3 linked regions of the Styela clava genome follow. The protein of the gene in region 1 purifies or fractionates together with the protein of each later gene. This does not show direct contact. Links are inferred from orthologs where the notes say so. Each region holds a gene or a part of one and is shown on either strand. Other genes may lie near its edges.

The links. The genes of interacting proteins can lie anywhere in the genome.
Region 2: the proteins of rapamycin-insensitive companion of mTOR-like (region 1) and F-box/WD repeat-containing protein 7-like purify together in Homo sapiens (affinity purification with western blotting; 3 studies listed by BioGRID, with this or other methods). This does not show direct contact. The link is inferred for Styela clava from reciprocal best matches to the Homo sapiens genes RICTOR and FBXW7.
Region 3: the proteins of rapamycin-insensitive companion of mTOR-like (region 1) and target of rapamycin complex subunit lst8-like purify together in Homo sapiens (affinity purification with western blotting; 14 studies listed by BioGRID and IntAct, with this or other methods). This does not show direct contact. The link is inferred for Styela clava from reciprocal best matches to the Homo sapiens genes RICTOR and MLST8.

What each region holds. Positions count from the first base shown.
Region 1 is NC_135255.1:15,846,256-15,854,262, forward strand, and holds the start of rapamycin-insensitive companion of mTOR-like, read right to left. Parts: upstream 3,021-8,007; 5' UTR 2,987-3,020; coding exon 1-2,986. UniProt on the Homo sapiens protein: Component of the mechanistic target of rapamycin complex 2 (mTORC2), which transduces signals from growth factors to pathways involved in proliferation, cytoskeletal organization, lipogenesis and anabolic output.
Region 2 is NC_135263.1:11,561,507-11,569,477, forward strand, and holds the start of F-box/WD repeat-containing protein 7-like, read right to left. Parts: upstream 3,020-7,971; 5' UTR 2,828-3,019; coding exon 2,714-2,827; intron 2,034-2,713; coding exon 1,841-2,033; intron 1-1,840. Other genes in the region: uncharacterized protein LOC120340979, read right to left, coding at 4,869-4,885, 5,198-5,264, 5,672-7,167. UniProt on the Homo sapiens protein: Substrate recognition component of a SCF (SKP1-CUL1-F-box protein) E3 ubiquitin-protein ligase complex which mediates the ubiquitination and subsequent proteasomal degradation of target proteins.
Region 3 is NC_135263.1:19,739,946-19,747,282, reverse strand, and holds the start of target of rapamycin complex subunit lst8-like, read left to right. Parts: upstream 1-4,318; coding exon 4,319-4,489; intron 4,490-4,810; coding exon 4,811-4,878; intron 4,879-5,060; coding exon 5,061-5,207; intron 5,208-5,489; coding exon 5,490-5,640; intron 5,641-5,909; coding exon 5,910-5,988; intron 5,989-7,190; coding exon 7,191-7,317; intron 7,318-7,337. Other genes in the region: large ribosomal subunit protein mL66-like, read left to right, coding at 3,113-3,688.

The DNA of each region.
Region 1 (8,007 bases):
GGTAAGAAGATAAATTAAATTCAAAGTTATCTACATCTCCACAAAAGGCTTCATGGATGTGCAAACCATCCTGTAATTTTTGAACTAATCTTGGAACAATATTCCTTTTTTCAAGTAATTCGCATCCTCTTTCATGTTGGCTCAACTCTCCATATAAATGTGAAGGAACATGAACAGGCTGGACAACTTTCTTAATTCCTGATCGTCGCACAAACCCACCTTGTTGAGTAGGTTTTTCATAGCATGTTAGTGAGATATTCAACAGTTCTTCTACTCTTGATACATAGAGATCATTGGCAGAATCCCACCATCGGTCCAACTCTCTCAACAGATATTTATTTGCAGAAAGATACTCAAAACCCAGCGGATGAGACGCAAAACGACAAATTAGCAGCGCTCCTTTTTCACCAAGATGTAGCAAACCGGGACGAAGACCAACAACAACGTTCAAGTATTCATGATCAGCACAAGCCTCATCAAGAACATCAAGTGCCTCAGTGGCAACAGTTTGGCTCGAGTCATAAAGTTGTGTTATTAGTAAATGAACCCCCCAATTGATAAATCCAGGCATTTTAGCTCTAAGTAATATTCGTAAATAGCAAGTTGCATACAATCTTGCTGCTTCATTACAAGTTACAAGAACTTGCTTCAAGAAAAAATAACTCAGACTTTCCCCAGAAAAAGATAAACTTGATATTACAAGTTTTAATAAATTTTCATGAATTTCATCATTTGCGAGTGACGTAAAAAAATCAAACACTCCATTCTTGCGCAAAATTTCACTACCATGGCGCCAAACTGTTAATGCTCCGAGCAAGAGAAAATAGTCCCTTGCACAACTTGATAAAAAAGTGCTTGTTGCCTTTTTCATACCGTCTGTATCTTTTATAAGTTTTGCCAAATATTCGACGATGCTTTTCAACAAAACAGATAATAGTTTCATTCCCTCTCCAGCTGTAGTTGATAAATATCTCACCAAATGGCAACCTGACTGCACATGAGGTTTATCTCCCTCGCCCTCTCTTGCTCTATCAACTTTGTAGAATTCTCCATCACTCGGAATATAAAAAGTAACAAGTCGTTTGATAAAATGGTATTCTGTATCATCAGAGCCAATATAATGAGATTCTCTTGTGTTAACCATCCTTTTAGACCACCCTTCAACAAGAAATGATGTTATTGCTTCCCAATCCCACTTAGTAAAGTCCCTTTCTGCAATGACTTGTGTGTCTTTTATTCTTGTGGATGTCTGTTCGCTAGCGAAGTTACGCACAATTGTAAGGGATCTGTTTCTACGAATTGATAATGTTGTCATGGGCTCATCCGAGTCTTCAACATGGTTTACAGTGAGGCGTCGCAGCGATATAGAAGAGCCAGGCCTAACTGGTGATTCCACTTGGGTTGCCTCTGTTGATGCTTTTTCAGCAGCTTTGACCCGAAGCAATAACTCATCTAAATATACTGTATGCATCGCTGGTCGATTTTTAAGAAAATTATGTATCTTTCTTAACCTACCTACAGCAACACTTGCACGTAAACGCTCTTCTTTACTCACACTCTGTGAAGTTGCTTGTTTCATTAGATCTGGCAAGCATTCTTTACAAGCAGATGAAGCACTAGTCATCCATAATTCCGCCGTTTGTGGCATAGAATGTAATTTATCAGAAAGGTTTAAAATTTTCCCTAGAAGTATACAAGCAATTATAGAGGCACATTCATCAGGACCCATAACCACTGAAACCAAACGCTGTATAATATTGGCTTCAATAAAAATTGAAAGCAGCACAGCCATATAACAATTAGTCAAGTCTAATCGTTCATTATTTAAGCTTGGAAGGAACCATTTTCCTTCACCAACAACAAAAATATTTGTAAGTTGCCAGCTTTCCTGAAAGATTCTGGGACCAATGCTTAGAAGTGATTCAATAAAATCTTCTGAAGCTTTAGGTTCATTTAAGCAGAAGATTTCAAATAATACAGACAAAGTAGCACGTTTAATACCTGCATCAGGAATCAGCAAAGTACTTAAAAAAGATTTTATCGCAGAAGTTTGACAAAGGTGAAGTAGACCAGACCATGAACGAAGAACAGAAACAACCGCCATCTTTGAAGCGGAAAACCTCATTTCTTTTTCTTCTCTTATTTGTGATTCTTCCACATCAGCATGTAGACGGTACATTACGTCAGTATAAGGAGCAAATATCGCATTAAAACTGAATGTCAATTTCAGTAGGTTCCGTGAGGATGGATGATTAAGCATTAATCCAAGGCTTATACACAATGACTCGTTAATCCTTCTGTACATATGGCATTCAAGAACTGCACGTAGCATTACAAGTAGTCCACCATTTTCAATGACTAATGAAGGTTCTAAAACAACAAGTTCACATAAAATCGCAAGACAGGTTCTATAGACACGATCTCTTTCCACAGCTCCATCAGCAGAAATTGACATAATACATAAAGCAAATGATTTAGGAATGATTGACATTTTCGTTTTTTCTCCAGCTTCTCTGCGTTCGATTCTTGCAATGAGAAGAATCTTTCGAATTAGACGCAAACATTGAATTCTCTCGACTTCATTGAAATGACTTATGTCTAGACATTTTATTATAAAACTATCCAAATGAAGTTTTGTCAAAAGTATTACTGAATGTGCATCATTAACTAAATAACGTAAAGCTCGAATGCACGCTGCTCGAACTTCCTTTACTTCAGAAACCAATGCTGGTTTTAGACAAATCATAATATCTTCAATTAAAAATTTAGAAGTCGCGTCTTCACGATTGCATAGTATTTTGATCAAATTGTTCAAATGTGGCAGAGTTTTTGCAGTGCTTCCTCTGCTTTGAATACTTCGAAAAATTGTCATAAGCAATAAATAAGGATCCTGTGTGATATCCAAAGGGATGGTATCTCCAGCATTTTCACGAATACGTCTAGTTCCGTTTCTTGATTGAAAGCTTCTATATCTTGAGCCACTCATTTTGATATTTACACGAAACTATACATATTGAAATAAATCTGTAAGTGATTTAGGAAAAATAAATCTTACGTTATAGTACTTGGTACTATATTAAATAAAATTAGATTTACTTCAAACCTAATCCAGTAATCAGATGCTGAAGTCACAATCTTAAAACAGGATTGGACAGTATTATTATAAATATAAGTTTATTTCGACTCGATAACCAGCATAATAGACGATAAATTAAAAATTTTAGATAAAACAAAAATATATAAAACTGATTATAGTCTAGAATCGGGAGAGCAAACTAAACCAGAATCTAGTGTAGTTTCGTACCTCAAGTGCCGGTACTTCTGTTCTAGCGGGCGTTGCATAACAAGGATAGGATAGGATTTACATATTTATCCCGTGCCAGAGAAAAGTCGATAAGACGGCTTAACCATATGGCGAGCCACGACCTCTCGTCTGATTACTATTCCAGTATTCCATGTCGGGTATGGGATCAGTTAGTAATTTGTTTGTTTCCGGAAGCATGGACTTGATGGTGGAGGAAGCCGTAACCGACCAGCGGTTACATGAACCACCCCACGGCGACGAGGAGTCCAGCAATCCTCTCGCACATGATCATCCCCGCATGGGATTCAAACCTGCGAACCCACAAAGGGTAATCATAGATGCAGTGGCGAGCGTATTCCTAACGCTTAGCATGAAGCGCCACACCGGCACACCGCCAAGCCCATATGCATATGTCAATCCTAACTCCCACCTGACAGCTTCATTTAAAAATTAAGTCACAGTCAGGTAATAAGGCATAATTGTTTTTATCTATTATTTTATCGTCTATTGCTGATTATGGAGTCGAAATAAACTTATACTTATACTTAAGGCCCTTCAAACTATAAAAATTGGGGTCTAGTATAGTTTAGTACCACAAGTACTTCCCGTGGGCGTAGCAATAATTTTGCATATGCTATTCCTAACCCCCACCTGACTATGCCATCCAAAAATTAGGTCACTACGAGTCTACGACCTCACCAACACGATCATCCGCATACTTAGGTGGGCCTTATTGCGCCACTGTGACGTCGAAATGACGTTTTTCGGTGACGTAGTTAGGTGGGGGTTAGGATTGACATATGCAAAAATTGTTGAGCCAGGTCAACTAGAAGTAGAGAAGTACGTGTGGTACTAAACTATACCAGACCCCTAAACTATACCGGTACGGTACCGTAAAACCGGCTAACTTCGGATGCCTTGTAACTTTGCGTCATATTGTGCTTCTGGTAGTTTCTCTAGAGAGTCCTTATATATCTGAATCTGTTATCATGATCAATCGCGCAATTTTATTTATTATTTGATTGAAAAATCACGTTTTAGCAAAAAATTTACACTCCGTTTTCGAGCGGCTCAAATCGTGACTTCTAACTGCGCTAACTTGGTCAAAACACCGTCATTCGATAGAGGGCGTTACCAATGTATTACAAAATTAGACTGATCGCGAGATGTCGCAGGAGACTCGAGAAACGATTAAAATTCAAATTGTCTTTTTACATCAAAATAATAGCATTTGACGCACACATTGAACCGACGTCACCCTGACGTCGCTCGCTTCGAAGACGACGTCATGTTGCGTCGCCGTTACAGATTTGACGCCAGACATTAGGGCGCCGACGAGTTGGCGTATATTTGAAATGACAGCGATATTTTGTTCGGTTGGATCAATATCGGCTAAAATATACACATCAACAGTTTCCTGTGGATCTTAAATTCATGCCGTCAAATGTTGGAAATGTAATTTAATTTATTAAAACGGCAATTAACGAAAAATATTTTCGTTCGATTTGTCGATTCAAATTCCACCATTTGGAACGGCAGCATGGTTTAAAATAGAAAAATTGTAAGCAGTCAAGAAATGTTGCGTGAATATAAAAATATATAATCAGCGATAAATAACAAGAATCATTGTTGCAACACTTGCAAGTGAGTTCCGTTTAATGAATTTAACTAAAGTAATATTTGCCAAATCGGTGTTTTGTCGTGATTTATGCACGGCGGACATTTTAATAGGTCAATTTAGTAAAGAATCCAGTCATATGCATGCTCAATAATATTTATCGTGCGACTATATACGATCTGGAATATACAAACGCTATCCAAACATTATCGGCTATTGCAAAATCGGCTATGATCGGTAGTACGATAAGAGAAAATGAAACTAGACATTTTATTATAAAAACAACTTGAAAGTGCCGCACCAAAAATCCTACGGTCATCATTATCACCGCCACTCGCGACGTGGATTGAACATCTGGAATTTTCGCAACCACGTAAAGCGTGTTTTGTCTTCGCCACGCAATTTTCGCTCGAGTTGCGGTCACGCACGGAGGTGATTCCCCCATCCGAAGTTAGATATTTAGTGGTGTAGTGAAAAATGAGACAATTAAGACAGAAAAAATGATCCGATCGGCGAGAAAATTAAATGCATGTGTAGAGATTGCATCAATGTAATATATTCCAAATATGACGCTAATTGGACAACAAACGGCAGAGATATTGATTGAAGTATAGTGAAACCATCCGAAGTTAGCCGGTTTTACGGTACTAGACCCCCAAATTTTCAATCGTTTACGGTATATCTCGACTAAATTGCGCCATACCGGTATTGTGCTTCTGGCAGTTTCTATAGTGAGTCCTTATATATCTAAATCTGTTATCATATTCGATCGCGCAGTTTAATTTATTTTTTGATTAAAAAAATCGCGTTGTAGCATCCTATCCTAATATTGACACTCCGTTTTCTAGCGGCTCAAATGCACCCAAAATGGTGACTTCTACTGATGAACTTCGTCAAAATACCGACATTCGATAGAGGGCGTTATCAATGTATATAGAAATTAGACTGATCGCGAGATGTCGTAGGAGAACCGATAAATAATTGAAATTCGATTAATTTTTTTATCACAATAATAGCATCTGACGCACACGCTGAACTTCGAAGACGACGTCATGTTGCGTCGCCGTTACAGATTTGATGCCAGACATTCGGGCGCTGACGAGTTGGCGTAGATTTGAAAGTAATAACGATATTCTGTTCGATTGGATCAATGTCGGCTAAAATAAAAGCATCAACAGTTTTTTGTTGATCGTAAATTCATGGCGTCAAGTGTTGGAAATGTGATTCAATTAAATTTTATTGAAAATGGCAATTAACGAAAAGCATATTCATTCGATTTGACGATTTCAAATTACTCCATTCGGAGCGGCAACATGGGTCAAAATAGAAAAATTGTGAGCAGTCGAGAAATATTGCGTAAATATAAAAATATATAACCAGCGATAAATAACAACAATCATTGTTGCAAATGAGTTCCGTTTCGTGAATTTAACGAAAGTAATTTAAATAAAGTTGCCAATTGCCAAATCGGTGTTTTGTCGTGATTTATGCACGACCGATATTTCAATGGGTCAATTTAATAGAGAATCCGGTCATGGGCATGCTTAATAATATATATCGTGCGACTATATATGGCAGGGGTGGGCACAATTTTTTAGTATAAGAGCCGCATGCTGCAAATCAGAACTTTAAATGAGCCGCAAAATTTGTGAATTTATTAATATTATTAAAATACCATGAACAGAAAAGAAATTTACACAAGAGTCTTATAACAATAAATAGATAAATAAGGCAGCTATGCTCAAATATATGCACAATTTGAGCTCATTTAATTTGTGTTTCCTTATTGCTGATTTACGAGGGTAGTCTCGTAAGAAGTTTTCATGATTCGTTCCATGGTGCCGTTTAACATTGCTGACTTTATTCTAATTATTCTGACTTAGTAGCTTATGGCAGATTAACCACAAGAGTTAATTCTCCTGACTGGTAAAAGCGTATTCTTTCTTCTTCCCACCCTGACTTGACAACTCTGTTTTCATCTTCGTATTTTCCTTTCTTAATTGAGGACATATCGCAGAGTAACTCAGACCAATATGATGCGCAACTCCGGCATTTTTGGCCGAAGATCGTATTCGATAGCACGCTCCAATGCACATACTTGACGAGACGAAAACGAGCGGATGTGTGTTGCTTTCAAGGCATAGCACGAATGGTGTTCGAGCCTGCTTCGACAATTGTTGTGGTTTTTAATGATATGTGGAAAATTGAAGGTAAAAAGAAATCGGAAAAAAGTAAGGTAAATACTATTGTTGTATATCACACCCGGGCATCGCACTGTTAAGTACATGCGGGAAAGCCAGCTTTTGTCAAATACTACGAAGTTTATAATTCAGTACGATACGTAGTTGGCCATCTGCCGAAATTGCATATTCACTTACCCCTTATGGTTTCAAATAGTTCATGCACCTCCTTTTAGATTTTTTTAATCAGTGAGGATATATACTTATTGCTGTAACATACTATTGCTCATTCACTTTTATTTGCGTATTGAATCAACGGGTTAACAAGTTCACCTAAAATTTCACTCATACCGGTCTATATTGTATAGTCTGATCTCTCAAGTATTTGGAGCCACGAATGCTTATAATTTTCTGACTAAACCCCTTTATTAGTTGGTTTATATACCAAATTCAGTAAAACATTTTTTACAAAAAACATAAGATATTGGGTTTATTAGCTTTTCCATTCTGAATCATATAGACTGCTTTATTTATTCTTAACGAAAATTAATACATCTCCTCTCCTACAGATGTGAAAGTTGTGGACAGACCTGTCTAAGCATTGTGAGACTCCTGCAGCACAAGAGGCAATAGCAATAATAGTGAGTATATCAATCAAGAAATTAGGCCGACATAAAACAAAACTTTCAACTATTCGTCTAACCTCAATTTCCTATTATTTATTCACAGGACAACTGTAGCTGAAGGGGAGATATCAGAAGTCTGGCGACATATCAGTGACAGTTTGATTCCAAGAAATATGATTAGAATACTCCATAAATGTTTGCAATAGAAGAACAACCTATGGAGGAATGCAAAGACATTTGACCCTCCGGTAAAGTTGTGTATGGCCCCTACATCCTGCA
Region 2 (7,971 bases), on another chromosome or scaffold:
GTTTTGAATGATGAACATTCCCAATGGGATTATTTGTTAAAATTCAACGCCTTTTATGATGTTGCTGCAATGAACTGATCTTTAATTTGTTCAAACGAAAGGTTCAAGAATGCTATGTAACACAAGCTAAGTGGAACTATTGTATATCAATGACCATGTTTTTCGGTCAATTTGAACATTTATACATTAAAAGCAGAAATAGGGATTTTCAATTATTAACCACGTATATATGTGCAATATAAATCAAAATGGCCAAAAAAGTAATAGCTACCGGCCAATGATCAATCTTTACCCAACCATTTATCATTTTTAATATATTTATGGAAAAAAAACTTGAGACTTGGTAATTAAAGGAAACCTTATAAGCGATGCAAAAACGAATTTGCATATTGTTGTAATGCTGTTTACATAATTTTGATTTAAATTACATGAGTTGTATAATGAACAAAACCTGAATATTCATATTTGAATGGATAATAACAAAATTTATCATAATTTTCTCAAATTCACCAGATAGAATCAGACTTGGCCACGGCCAACCTCCCAAAATAATTCGAACAAAACCTAAATATTCATATTCATCAGATAGAATCGGACTTTGCCAAATTTCGAAATAGAACACATTCTTGTACAGTGATAATTCTGTAGTGGAACATAATTCGTTCAGGAGTGATGTTCGAATATCGATTTGTTCGAGTATCGAAAATTTTTTGCCATAAGAAACAATGGTAATTATTTTTAATCGTTCTTACGCATTCCGAAATACCAAAAATATTAACAAAACGAACGTAGAACAATATTTATTTAAATGTGTACAAAATAAGAATTAAACAAAAAATTTTGTATCAGTTAATATACTGGGGCTCTATAGGGTTCGTTTTTTGTATGCGATGACGTCATCAAAAATTGAGCGCACCTTGAGTAGGTTCCGCTTTCACGATAGTCGTGAAGATTGCCTTACCGGGTGTTTATCGTGACAGATACTGTACATACACATACTACTTCATTATGGCCTTAGTGCCCATATATTTGAGCATTGCTCTCTTGTTAAATGGTCAAGAGGCAGCTGAAATGCGTGTTCGGGTGACGTCATCTCACTCGGAGGTGCGATCGGTGTTCGGGCACTGAGTTTCCGTTTGATATCCAGGAATTTTTGACTAGATATTTTTGCTCGGCAACTGAATTATTCAAGTATCGACTCGTTCGATTCCAAGGTATGGATGTAATTCCAATATCAGAATGCATCCTAGGGCAGAGGGATGGACAAAGTTTTTGATGCAGAGGGCCGCATTGAGAAATGTACCATATATTTACCTTCAGTTAAAATTTAATACAGCTGCCATTGTTGAAACAGGAATAAACAAAAAAAATTAACATTTTTTTTAACTATTCATAGTTTGGATATTCCAAAAAAGCACATCTAAATTTTGTATATATTAGTGAAAAATTACTCCAAGAGCAAGCGCGCCGTACAAAATGCTTTGGCATGTCGAATGTGACCCACAGGCCGTTAACTGTCCATCCCTTCTCAGGATGTGGATGGAATTTCTAGGACTTGATGTTTGAGCACACAGAATGACAAATTGGGAAAATACCAAAAAAAAAATTTTTTGGGTTGATTTACAATGTAACTCATTTTTACATTTACATACTCATTTACCAACAACTCATTTTGTTCCTGAAATGTCCAATATCAATAGAAATAATGTAATAAAATTATGTCGAAGAGAAACAATTCGGAATTAATTTAGGATAATATTGAATGTTGTGAAATTCAGGTTTAAAGTCGAATAAAGTTTGAGATTGAAAGTTTTGAAAGACTTCAATAATCATACTGTACCTGCTAACATCAACTCCGATACGGATAAATCTCCTTCCTCAAGGGGTTCGTCATCACTTAGCTCGTGTAAAGCCTTGATTTCGCTCGCTCTACTTGATACACAGAGTAATACACCTTGATTTCTTTCTAGAATACATTGTGTGATTCCAGGAACATCAGTCAATTCACACAACTTCTTGAACTTTCCAACAGTCTAATACAAAAATAAAAGATCATATTTCTGTCACAATGTTAAAAATTTACTATAGCGGTATAAGAATTGATCAATTTTTACAATCGAAACAAAAAAGGGACAAAGGCTATCGAAGTGATTTGATTTTTAATCGCTGAAAAATGAGTAGGAATGGAAATGGTTGGGTGAATTGTTTTGGCGCTTCATGTAGCCAAATCTTTCTTGCATTTGCTTGGTCACACAATTCTCAGAAAAAGACAATGACTTTGATGCAAGCTGGCTTGCAATCAAATCACATTTTAAAATTTGTCACTCGGTATGAGACATAATTTTTTAAATAAAATGGTTAGGCTAACCAATTTAACGCAGGCACACTTGCGTGGACTTGAAGCATGTTTGACTAATTCTAGATATAGCTGACACTGACAGTATACTCAGACTGAAGAAAACTTCGACATTTTATTTAGATTTAAAACATTCTAAATTCATACATACTATAGCAATTTTATAAAGGTTGAATTATCATAAAACCACAAAAGCTTCGAGGTTTATGGTTAAATCTGCAATATATAAAATATATTTTTCATATTACTATTGAAAATTTTTTGTACCATTAATAGTGTAATAATTTTGTTATTAATCAGCCATTCTTATTCCAGTATTCATGTGATTTATATTTTAATAAATACAGAAATACTCACTGTTCTGAATCGAACAATAGCTCGAGCTTTAGATCGTCCAACTCCCTTCAACCTAGTCACAAATTCATCGACTGACGCAGTATTAATATCGACAGCTTCCTCATCGAACTCCATTAAGTTGAGTTGTCAGAAAGTTGGTTCAGTGGTTAGAATCAAGGTCTAAACACAATTAGTTTCCAAAGTGGTACATTTCTTTTAGTTACAGACGTCAATAGCAGAGAACTGTTCAAATTACTGTATTTATGGAGAAGTTTTAGGATTGGCACTATCAGACTATACTGCAGTAATGGTCTGAAAATAGATGCAAACACTTTTGAGTTAAACTAGTCCAATTAAAATTAATACATTTGTAAAGCCATGGAAGTTTTAATAAATGAAAACAATACCGGAATAATGCTGACATTCAGATTACCTATAACCCAGGTAACCTAAATTTTATCAGGCTGTTCTGCAAAAGACTGAAATCTTTTTAGGAGGTGATTTGGTAAAAACATTGTGCTGTTGTGAATTGGATTTATCTAGATGTTAATTGGAATAAAAACCGTAGACTAATCCCCTCCTACTGAACTAAATCGCGCCATCACACCAGTCAAAATTTCTAAATCTCTGATTCCAGACTGCTGATGTTGTCTAAGTTTTTATGTAAAGTCAAGTGTATTTTTTCCAACTGGTCAGTAAATAAATAACCTATAGGTAGTCTATATCCGTGAAAATGTGCCTATTCACAGATTTAACAGACGTGAAACTCTGTAACAGCACTCACCATACAGATGATAACATCACTACACCAAGCAATCACACAAATCAACAAGTGAATAAAATCAGACACCTATTTCAGGTCTCGGTGCAGTGGTGGCGAACTGCTTGACCAATGCTCATCCTTACTGCCATCTACAGGACACGCTACTATATTGCAGAAACGGTGGGATTACATACATTACGGATGTCTGTTGTAAAGGCTATTCATGTTCTATCAAAAATATCACCGATGCACATCTAAAACGGTCGACCAGAGATGAACTTTAGCTGGGATATATATGCCTGAAATGTATTGTTTGGGACTCCCACCACCAGTGAGGACTTCGATGCTTCCACCGACCCGCGCTTCACATTTTGAATATAACCCCTACAGTAGAATGTTTATAATAGAAAATCCACAAGCCGTGGTATGCATGAAGTTAAGAGACATCTTTTCCTCGTGGTCAACACGAAAATCAGATCTTAAAATAGCAAACCTGTCTCAAATAGTCATATTTATTTTTATGCTATACATCAGCAGACACAAGCTGAACCAGTGTAAAGACGTTTTCACTTTACACCATTCCTTAACTAAATTATATAAACACATCAGAATAGACAATGTTTTATTGCAAAATAACTAGCAGCTTTAATCTGAAGATAACATTATTTCAAGACAGAAAAGTATTCCTTTCCAAACTTTCCTCAAGTCAAAAAGCTCAAAATTGAGTAGCACCAGTTTACGATTGAATATGATCACTTCACTTTCGGACAGAGCAGTGTACCAAGTAAATTTCTACACTTTGAATAGATAGAAATGACTAGAATGCATTATTGGATTATCAAATTGCCTTGTAAAGTTTAAATAATAGGCAAGAGATCAGCCAGCATCAATATTATCAAATTGCTATACCTAGACTGCTGAAAAAACTATACTTTTTATCTTTAATTGCAACATAGATGAAAGTATATTTTTATACTCAAGGAAGCAAAGACTTTTTCGACAAACTGCAAAATATTCATTTCATTTTGTGTGTAAACATTTGAGAGAGTGTTAACATTCAGAAAAAGATTGGAAAGCAGAACATATTCCTTTATTCATATTTATTAATGGAGAATGAATAATGACCTTGTAAAAAATATAAAATGACCAGACGATGATAACACACAATGTGAAAAGATACAAAATGAGTTGTTGATGTCAGTTTTAAACTGGTTAAAGCAGACTACTAGGTACGAGAACCCATAAAATTCCCTATAATTTCAAACTTCAGGTGAAATATCATGGTGTACATAAAAAAATTACACATGAAATGCTGAAAAACAGGTCAGAAACTGCAGATATGATTCTTTGAACTCTCCACACAACCAGATAGTTGATGTATAATGAATGACTATAAAAAACATGCCCACTCTCTCATCTGTTCTGGTTTGCTGAAACAAATGAAGCTCACTGTTAAGATTGAAATTGTTTACTCGGTTCGTGACACTTTGGATTATTTGATAGAGTAATGTGAAATACTAAACGCCTAATTACCAAGCTAGCCAACATTAATTTGATAGCTCAAGTCAGACACTCCAGATATTTCATTTAACGTAAATTATTGAAAATTGGTACGTAGTTGAACCCCAGAAATTAATTCAAAATAAAAGAATTTGTATTGCATGTTCCTTTACATCTTAGACTCGTACTCCTGTATGAGTACCATTTACCGTACCAAAACGATGGATTCCTAGAATACCTACCTTTAATATTCAGATTCAATGCTGCTTGCTTAACTGAATCGTTCCCCTGAATATCAACAAGGTTGACCTAAAATTGTAGTGGATAAGTTATATGTTAACACTTGAAGTTTATTTTAAAGTACAATTAAGAGGAATTAGATTGGGGGCTGGTAACTAGATTGAATATGAGCTTCAGAAGCAAAGATGCATTAATATATATTATTTTAAATCAAGTTTCAAATTCTTACCAGAGCATTATGCTGGTATAATCAATAGAAGTAGAACTCAAAATTTTACTACTGTTACCTTCGTTAGATCTATCAGGCGTGTGTCATTATGTCTAAATCAACACACTTATTCTATGAAACTTAACTTTGTAAAACATTGAAACTGGGATATCATAATTATTGAAATGTTTAGGTATTTTAAATTGATGGATATACAAATTAATACACACAGTATTCTTTAAACAGAAAATTAATTTAGAAAACTTACCAATGGAAATGATTTTGAAAACTGTGGGTCAGTCATTGAATAATTTTCTGGAAAATTTCGAGCAGAACTGACTGGCATTGTTTTGAGCTTCGATGCAGCAGAATTAGAAAGGTTTGACGAAGACGAGTAAGCAGTAGAAAACGAGTTTGTGTTTGGATTGAAAGAGCTAGCCATTGACGAAAGTAACATTGGATTGAACCCACCACGGATTGATTCCAATTTAATATTAGACGCACCAGATGGTGAATATTGAAGTTTGGGTATTGGAACAGAACAAGGAGTTGAGGAACTCCGTTTCGTATTTTGCGGAAAAGTAGGAGACATTGGTGGAACGTTATGTATGTTTGCTAAATTATCTATGGCTGATTGTGCAATTTTAAAATTTGGGGTATTGGGAGACACAGTGGATTTCTCAATAGAGTGGTGCTGGTTAGAACGCGATCGCTGGCCAGAAAAGTTTGAACTAGATATAGACGGCACAGCAAAGTTTGGTATCGGTCTCATTGTGAGATTTTTTATGGCATGCTTATCATCGAATGTCACAGAATACACAGGCGCTGTTGACGTTGGTGGACATACTTTCTGCTTTGCTATTGAGGGCACTTTGTCAGGTTTCGATATTTTAGGGGGTGTGGGATTTTGAGAAGACCAAGAAGGCCCAATTGCTGTAGCTACACGTTTAGTACCAACATCTAATTTTGGGAAGCCACCCTTTGAAGCACTGCTGGGCGTTACAGCAGCGGATGAAATCTTAAATTTGAGTTTTTCGTCTTGTTTGGAGTTCTTAACACCTTTAGGCAAAACGTCATTAGGACTGAGACCCAATATTTTTGAAATAGCATCATAGTTTGATAAACCAGGGGATCCGTGGTAAACTGGATTTGCATGTGCCAGTTGGTTTTGATCCATCATAAATTTGATTATATCAGATGCATAACTTTCCATAGCCTGTGAGCTCATCGCAAGTGGAACATCAACAGCAGAGCTAAATGAGGAATCAAACGAACGATTGAAAGTCTTATCAGAGTATAATTTTTTATCAACCTTCTTAGTTGAACCAGGATTTAACATTGTTGCTGGAGGCATTTTTGTCTTCACAATTGAGCTTGTATTAGAGGCTTTCCAGCTGCTAGTGGAGACTTTTTCATTTGAAGGGGGTGCCTTCTTTTGTGTAGAGAGTGGACTTGAGGTAGGAGAATTTTCACTTTCTATCGACGCTACTAATTCAAAACCACCTCCTGATGTCAAATTTCCAATTTTTATTTTATCATTTGTGCTATATGTTGTTGAGTTGCGGGAACTAACAGCATTAACCGATGGTTTATAATTTTTCGAGTCATTTGTTTCATAAATAAGCTGCTTCTTGAATGACTTAGCAGTTGTGTCACTCTGTCCAGCAGAGTTATTTAACGTTCCGACATATTTTTGTCCAGAAGCGATATCAGCAGCTTTATTTGAGTCTTTGGCAGAACCAAGTACCTTTTTATAACTTCCAGCTAGAATAGAGGATAAAAGTAGAGAGTAAAAATTACGTTAAAATGAACCAAATGACCAAAGTTCAGAACAAATCATTTTTAGTTTATTGTAGAAATTAGCATTGCTGAAAAATAACATAGCATTTATGAGCAAATTAGCTGTGAGGAAATTGAGGCCACAATTTGCTCAATTCATTATGTGATTCAAAGTGAATTAAATAAAAACCAATATGAAATCATCATATTATTTAAAAACTAAATGATTGCATGAATAATAAAATTGAACCGAAATTCTTCAACTCTAAAATTCATCAGACATAATATTACACATGTTGTGGTTCACATAAAGCCAGTGTGTGCATTTGCACCAAGAACTAATAAGTGCTAGAAATTTGAACTTAGGGACTATTATATATAATGGTGAGTCACCAGTAACACATAAGAGGGCTAATAAAACATTCAAATCTAATATGAAAAAGCAAACCCCCATGACATAGACTGATTTCGCATGTGAAATTAGATTGCTCTCAATTTTAGTAGTTTCGAGAAAACAAAATTTTTCTCCCTCAGGGCATTTGTCAATATAAAAAAATAGGCAATCTTTTAGACGAGGAGATACACAAATCAACTAATATCAATCACAGTAAACTGTCTTACTATCTAACACATGGATTGGTTTAGTCTGCAGTAAACTTGACTTCTTTTTTATTCGATCCTTTCGCTTCAAACGATCTTTACGATGCGACACAATCATTGGCGAAACTGCTCCCTCATTGCTACTATGAATTAAAGGCTGGGGTTTGGTTATGATGCTCCCTGCTGACT
Region 3 (7,337 bases), on another chromosome or scaffold:
ATAAACTTATGGATCACTACACAAGAAAAAGGTATCGCAAATAAAATTTTCACTGATGAAACAGAGAAATTTTTCCCAGACATAAACAAAACTTGTGAAGATTCGACGAAAGAAAAATTTGCCATAAGCGAGGTGATTGCGAAATCGTCGCGTTCTTTCGTTGAGTGAAGCTTTATTAAAGAGTGTATGTTGAAGGCTTGTGAAATAATTTTTTAACAATGAGAGTTAACAAATCAGCCTTTCGCACACGACTAACGGACGAGAGTTTGTATGCTGTCTAAAGACCAGCAAACCAACGCAAAATAAGGCTGAACATCGAGCGTCTCACCGCTACAAAATGGTGTAAGATTCAAGCGGTATGTTAGTCGTTGGTTAGTCGTTGGATTCAAGGTTAATTTCAACTAATATATTCAGATTTAATTTGCTTATTTTTGTATATAATTTATTAGTTTGCGGCCCGCGTCGTCAATAAATTTCAAAATGTGGCCCGCGACATATTTTGAGTTGGAGTCTGGAGACCCCTGGTGTAGCTGATTGATGTATTATTGTTGTAGACAAGTTTCTTGGTATTGTTGTAAACTGCTTGTCTGAAGAAGTCCGATTTTGGCCAGACGAAACGTTACAGAAATACCTTTGTGTTAATGTGCAACAGGACTCTTGAATTGCATAGTATGGTATTTTATTCCCACTACAGCATTCTTGCATTATACGCATACGGATCCACTAGCGCAAGGGCATTGAGGAAGGATTGGGAGTAAATAAATGTTAAATTGCGTGAAATACGAAAGCTATCGGTACGCCGTGTACACTACAGGTAAGATACGTACGCTAATCAACCAAGTAGATTGGATGAAACCGGTAAGTTGAATTTAAGAAACTTTAACAAACTCAAGATTTAATAAAACGTAAAAAAGTTTATTTCGACTCCATAATCAGCATAACAATACATTTGACAAATAAGAACAAATAAATAAAAACTGATTATGGAATCAGGGGAGCAAACGAAACCTAAGATAAGGTTTATAAAGTACAAAATATAAGATGGAAGGTTTTGCCAAGAGGAAGTGGTACGTGTTTACTCACCTAAAATTATTAAGTTATTTCACACACGCTCACATGCACCCACCAGCCACACACACACAACCACTGAGAAGTTATTTAAATAAGAATAAAACGCGATAAATTTAGGGTATACTGTACAGTAAACAAAAAATAAATAAATAAATACTAGAAAATAAAAAAAATTATTTGCCACACTATATTGATATTTTTGTAATGGTTGCCATTGCCAAATTGATCGATCTTCTAATCGTTAATTAAAATATAAAAGGAAGATTCTATTGAAAACATATTGCCAAGCTGATTATAGTTGGAGTCAAATGCCAAGTTGCCCAACCAAAGTTGCCAGAATTGGGTGCATGAAGAGGTGGGCGAGACCATTTCATTCTCCAAATTAGAGCCTATTATTGCCAAATTAAAGTTACCGGTAACAGAAAAATTACTATAATTAAGTAAAGTAGGATATGGAAATAAATTGGTTACAAAGGGTGTAAGTGAGGTTTTTCATTCTTGGGTATTGATTTCAGACAAGGGTATAGGAATAAGGTTGTTATTTCACAGCATATTGGAATCTTTTTTGATTTTTTCCGTACTGTAATACACGCTGGTCGCGAGAGGTGGGTAAGCATGGCTCAATTACGGTACCAATAAATGGGTCTTACTACTTACTGAATACAGCGCGAAACACCGCAAAGAGCGCGAAACAGAAGGAAACCAGCGCAAAACAGAGGGAAACAGCGGAAAACAGGAGGCGCAGTCATTACCACCTCCTGTCACGAAAGAACCACGACGCCTCTCGCCATGGTTTTGTGGCGCTGTTTCCGGTATATTTACAAGGTTATGTACCGGATTATAGGTCATCATGCGAAATTTTATCTACCTTTTTGGTGCTCCAGAAGTATGTGCAGCAATATGTCGCACAACCTGAATCCGCCACACACACACACACATACTATCTTCAGGTTGTGCGCCATCTTGGTGCACATACCTCTGGAGGTCCCTTTTGATCTAACCCTAACCCTAAAGCCAACCATATCCATATGGAAAATGTTCAAAATTATGGTACCCAAAATGTGTCACCAGCAGGGGCAGACCTGCCATTACTGCATTACTGGCTACATACGCTGGTTTGTGTTTTTAATTTGCTGCCGTGATACTTCAACTAAAAACAAGGTGCCTCGAACTCATTGCAAAATTTTTTTCTGCTTCACACTGTTTTCCTCTGTTTTGCGCTGTTTCCCCACTGTTTTGCGCTGTTTCCCTCTGTTTTGCGCTCTTTGCGGTGTTTCGCGCTGTATTCAGTAAGTAGTAAGACCGCCAATAAATTACTGATACATAAAATTATCTCTATATTTTGTGAAATAAACGGTTCTACGATAAAGATCAAAAAATAGTTACTAGATGTAAATTATATTAAAGCATTATTTTGATAAAAACTGTTCAATTAATTTGAATTTTCAAGGTAAAATTCTGGGCCACAGAAACATTTTTAGATAGGCCACAAACCTATTGGAAATTGGTCTGATGGTGATTTTTGCTACAGGGTGGAAATTTTCATTCTAAATATTAAGGTGGAATTGTTGGTTTTTTGCGGAAAGAATTTTTTTCTCTTATACTGAAACACTGACTTAATGGCCACAAAATTTTTCGCAATGAAAATGGGCCACAAAAGAAAAAAGGTTGAGAACCAGCCTATGTCCACAACTGGTGATTGAAACAATTGTGTTTTTTATTTTCTGTTTTGCTGGGGTTTGTACAAGGTAAGCCTATGTGCGAGTGTTTCATGCGGTTATCAAATTTATGATTCATTGTTGATTAGATTATTGAAGTTGAAGTGTCGAAATAAACTTATACCTATAAGACTTCAAATTTGTCATGATGCAGTGATGGCTGGATGGCAAACTGCTAAATGGGTAATTAACGATGCGATAGCAAGCATATTTCCAACACTCTGTACGATGCGCCAACTTCCAAGATATTAATTATAAATGGAATCTATACTCGTAACTAAAAATATATTTGTTTTAAAATTATTTGTTCTTCCTTCCTTTAGATGGCACATTTTATGTTTAAAAATATTAATAAATTAGGCTTCCAACCTTTATCGAGTTTGTTAAATCTTGTTGGAATCTTGCCTACTAGAGGATACAGAGAGATTAAGATAAAAGAGGAAGATAATGTAACAACAATTGAAGGTAAAATGTACGAAGATGACAATTCTAAGTTTGTTGATAGAGATAATCCAGAAGATACATGTCCAATACGTAGTCGAGGAATTCAGGTTACATATGAAGATGTATTAATACTCAATCAGTTCATGACAAATAATGGAGATGTGATTCCTCGTTCTATCACTGGACTATGTTTACGAGAACACCTAAAAGTAACAAAAGCTATTAAAATGGCACAACGTGCCAACCTATTACCTGGTGAAGAACCTCGAATAGATCATTTGGGAAAAGAAATACCAAAGCTGAATTGTTATCTCACTAACTTTCCCATTGGTTCACAAACTGCTGTGAAAAGACCTGGACCTGTTTGGAAGAGAAGATATTATAAAGTTGGGGATCCAGTTGCAGCTCAGGATGCACCAACAATAAGTAACCGAAGAATACGGACTGGTCACTAGGGATGACTTTTTGTATATTTGTATGATAGGCGTATTGAGCACGACAATGCTATTTAATAAAGTTAGTTTAATGCAAAAGTTTTGGAAACTAGTTCCAGAACTTGTTCATGTCTTGGGATTCAAAGGGCACGTATCATCTTTGTTAAATTTCATTATTTTGAAGTGTGCAATTCTCAATATTAAGCTCAGGCTGTCAGGGGTTGAATGCTGCTAAAAGTAAGACTTTTTTTATCGATAACTGTTGATAAATTATAATGGTGTTGTAGTTTCATGGTGCTTATACAAGGTTTAGCAATATGTACAAAATACAGATGTATCTAATAAAGAAAGTTTATGAACTTGAATGTGACTCATAAACAATTCTACCGCATGTGTAACGACATTTAGTGTCAATTATGAAAAACAATGACTATGACATGTGTACTACATCAGTTCAAATTTATAGTTCTCTAATTTTTTGTGTCTAGCCTTGCAATTGTGGTGCTCCAGTGTTAATTGCAGTAAGTTTACTTTGTAGAAGGTATACATCTTTGTTGGCGTGAAATATTATTTTACCATTCTATGTCAGTTGAACCCAATATGAATCTTAATACTCCAGGGAATATGCTTCAGTTTGTTACAAGTAATTGAATGGACTTCACCCTTTTTCCTTTTTATAGCCTTGATTATAGCATCATAATGTCTGGTGATCCTGGTGGAATAGATCAAGTAATTTTGGCAACTGGTAGTTATGATCACACAATCAGATTCTGGCAAGCCCATAGTGGGTTTTGTACAAAGACTGTTCAGCATCCCGACTCTGTATCCTTTTTATAAATTTTTTGTTTTAATAATCTCAAAAGATAGGTATTCGTTGTTCATTTAATCCAGGGTTCAAGTTGAAATTTCCAAAGTTGGGAATGTTCGACTGATCTGAGATGACCCAAGTCGTGACCGCTGAGATTTTCTTCCTTCATCAAAGACCCGCTAGACTCAATACATGACTCTCAAGTTATTAATAATGCAGTTGGTAATTTGAACCAGGATGACGGTTTTCATGGAATTGCTGAATACTAGAAGTAAACATTTTATAAGATATATAATTTCAATTTGTATTATTTTCTCACTATACGCAAACATCAGCAAGTGAATGCGATGCAGATTACTCCAGATAAGAAACACCTAGCCGCTGCGGGATACCAACATGTCAGGTTAGTGGTATTGCATTGTTTTTTTTTGTAATCGTAATAGTTTAATGAAGTTAAAAGAGTTTCAGAAAGTGTAATAGTTACATAAATTAATGAATACTTCTAAATTCAAGATTTAACATCCTTCATTGTTTCGGCTTGCAACTCCACTCTAATTTTTGTAATGGTTGACAATTTTTATTCAGAATGTACGACATTAAGTCCTCTCATCAAAATCCAATAATATGTTATGATGGACTGAACAAAAACGTCACTGCAGTTGGTTTTCAAGAAGATGGTAAATGGATGTACACGGGTGGAGAAGATCATATGGCTAGGATATGGGACATGAGGTAAGAAACTCATTGGACATCCCATTACCAGGAATCCATGGATTTACAAGCTTTTTGATAACATTTACTATAACTATGGTAAGTTTTCTTGTTGTTATGCACTGGTTCTACTCCTGTTCAACCAACCTATTGCTGATGCTCCTGGACTATTGATTCGCTCTGTGAATGTTATATTTGTTTTGGTAGCTTCTCCGTGGATTTGGTTTTAGATTTATTTATTTCAATCCGTTCCGTTGACTGTATCAAGAACAGTTTTCTGATATTTTATATATATATATATAGGTCTCGCAACATGCAATGCAATAGAATGTTTCAAGTAAATGCTGCGATAACATCAATATGCCTTCATCCAAATCAAGCAGAAATGATTGTTGCTGACCAGGGAGGATGTATAAATGTTTGGGATCTTAGATCTGACAAAACAGAGCAACTGGTACACTGATATTCATTTTTGGACTTTGGCTAAATCTGATATCATTGAATATTGATATTTTCAAATTAGAGCAGATTTTAGGATCATTTGTATACATTTTGAACATTTCAAGAATTCATTATTTACATTCAATGAGTACATAACAAAAATGTATGATGTCCGAATATTATTTTCCATTACTTTGCATCGCATACCGGTATTTGTTTTTTCATCTCGCTAAATAAAATGATATTACTGTTTTATGATGCAACTTTTCTTCTATGATTTAGATACCTGAAGTTAATGTTAGTATTAACTGTGTTGATATTGATCCTGATGCAAGTTATCTCGCTGCAGTGAACACACATGGTGAGTCTATATTTATACGTGGGTAGTCGGTGTTGCTTTGAGCTGAATCTTTGAGTTGGTTGTGGTGTGCTTAGGAATTTGTTGAGCGCTCCAGAAGTGTGTGTATCAATATGGAGGTAACTAATTTTGTTCACCTACTTTACATCGAGTTGTGTAAAGGGATTGGAACCTATGGGCTGGGGGTATATTCTCTTGGCTAACACCGACAGTCTCCGAACTCTGATAGAACTAAAATGGGGAAAATCAGAATAAAATTATGGCCTAACTCTACCTTGGTACACACACACTACAGGAATACCTTTTGTTGTTGGCAAGTCTCAATATAACATATTTGTACGAGCAACTAAAAATGTAATTACAGTAGTAAATGATACCAGTACCACCTGAATTCATTTTTGTTTTAAAATAGGAATGCGAATTGCAATACTGCTAGCCTGCAAATCGATGCTATTGACATAAAAGTCTATATGAAGTGCAATGTTGCTTCCGACAATCTTATCTAAATAATCATATTTTTAAACAAATAAGCATTAACGTAATCTCTACAAAGTAGCCTGTATATTTGTGAGCTTTCTCTTGATCATGGTCTATCTTCTTCAGACAAAACAAAATATTTCTGTAAAGATAAATTACATAATACTCGAGTCAAGGTGTTATAATAAATTTTGAAAAATGAGTGCATCAATGCCAAGAGTATTTAAGATGTCTATAGTACCATATCGCAGGGGTGGGCAAGATTTTTGAACCAGGGGCCAAAAGCTTCGCCTACCTAGTCTCGCGGGCCATGTAGGTGTGACATAAAAAGTTACATTTTATGAACAATATTTACAGTGTTGCAAAGCAAAAGTGGAAAACAATAAGCCTCGGGCCAAAACTAACTTTAATTTGCAATCTCAACAAAGTCCTTGAACTTTTTTAACTAAAACATCAAATTTGGTTACAGTTCGGTTGTGGCAGCATCAGGCGGGCCAGATTGAATTACCCAACGAGCCGGATTTGGCCTGCGGATCGTAGTTTGTCCATGTCTGCTCTATCGTATGACCTTTGCTGTTAATATGATTGGTGATGGGGTTGTTGGGGCTTTTTGATTATCTCTGAGATAGTATAAAAACTATGGGAGCTACATTTCAATAACCATTAACCAATATTGTAGTTCTCCAAATATTGTTTGGATATCAAATGTAATGGTATTCTACCTTTAGGAACTTGCTTTGTTTGGAGCGTTTCTCCAGCTAAAACATTGGAAGGTATAATGCAACTCAATCCTCGAAGAAAACTCGATGCACACAAAAAATATGGATTGAAGTGCAAATTTAGTCCCGATTCAGTGTGAGTATTTTTGTTTTATA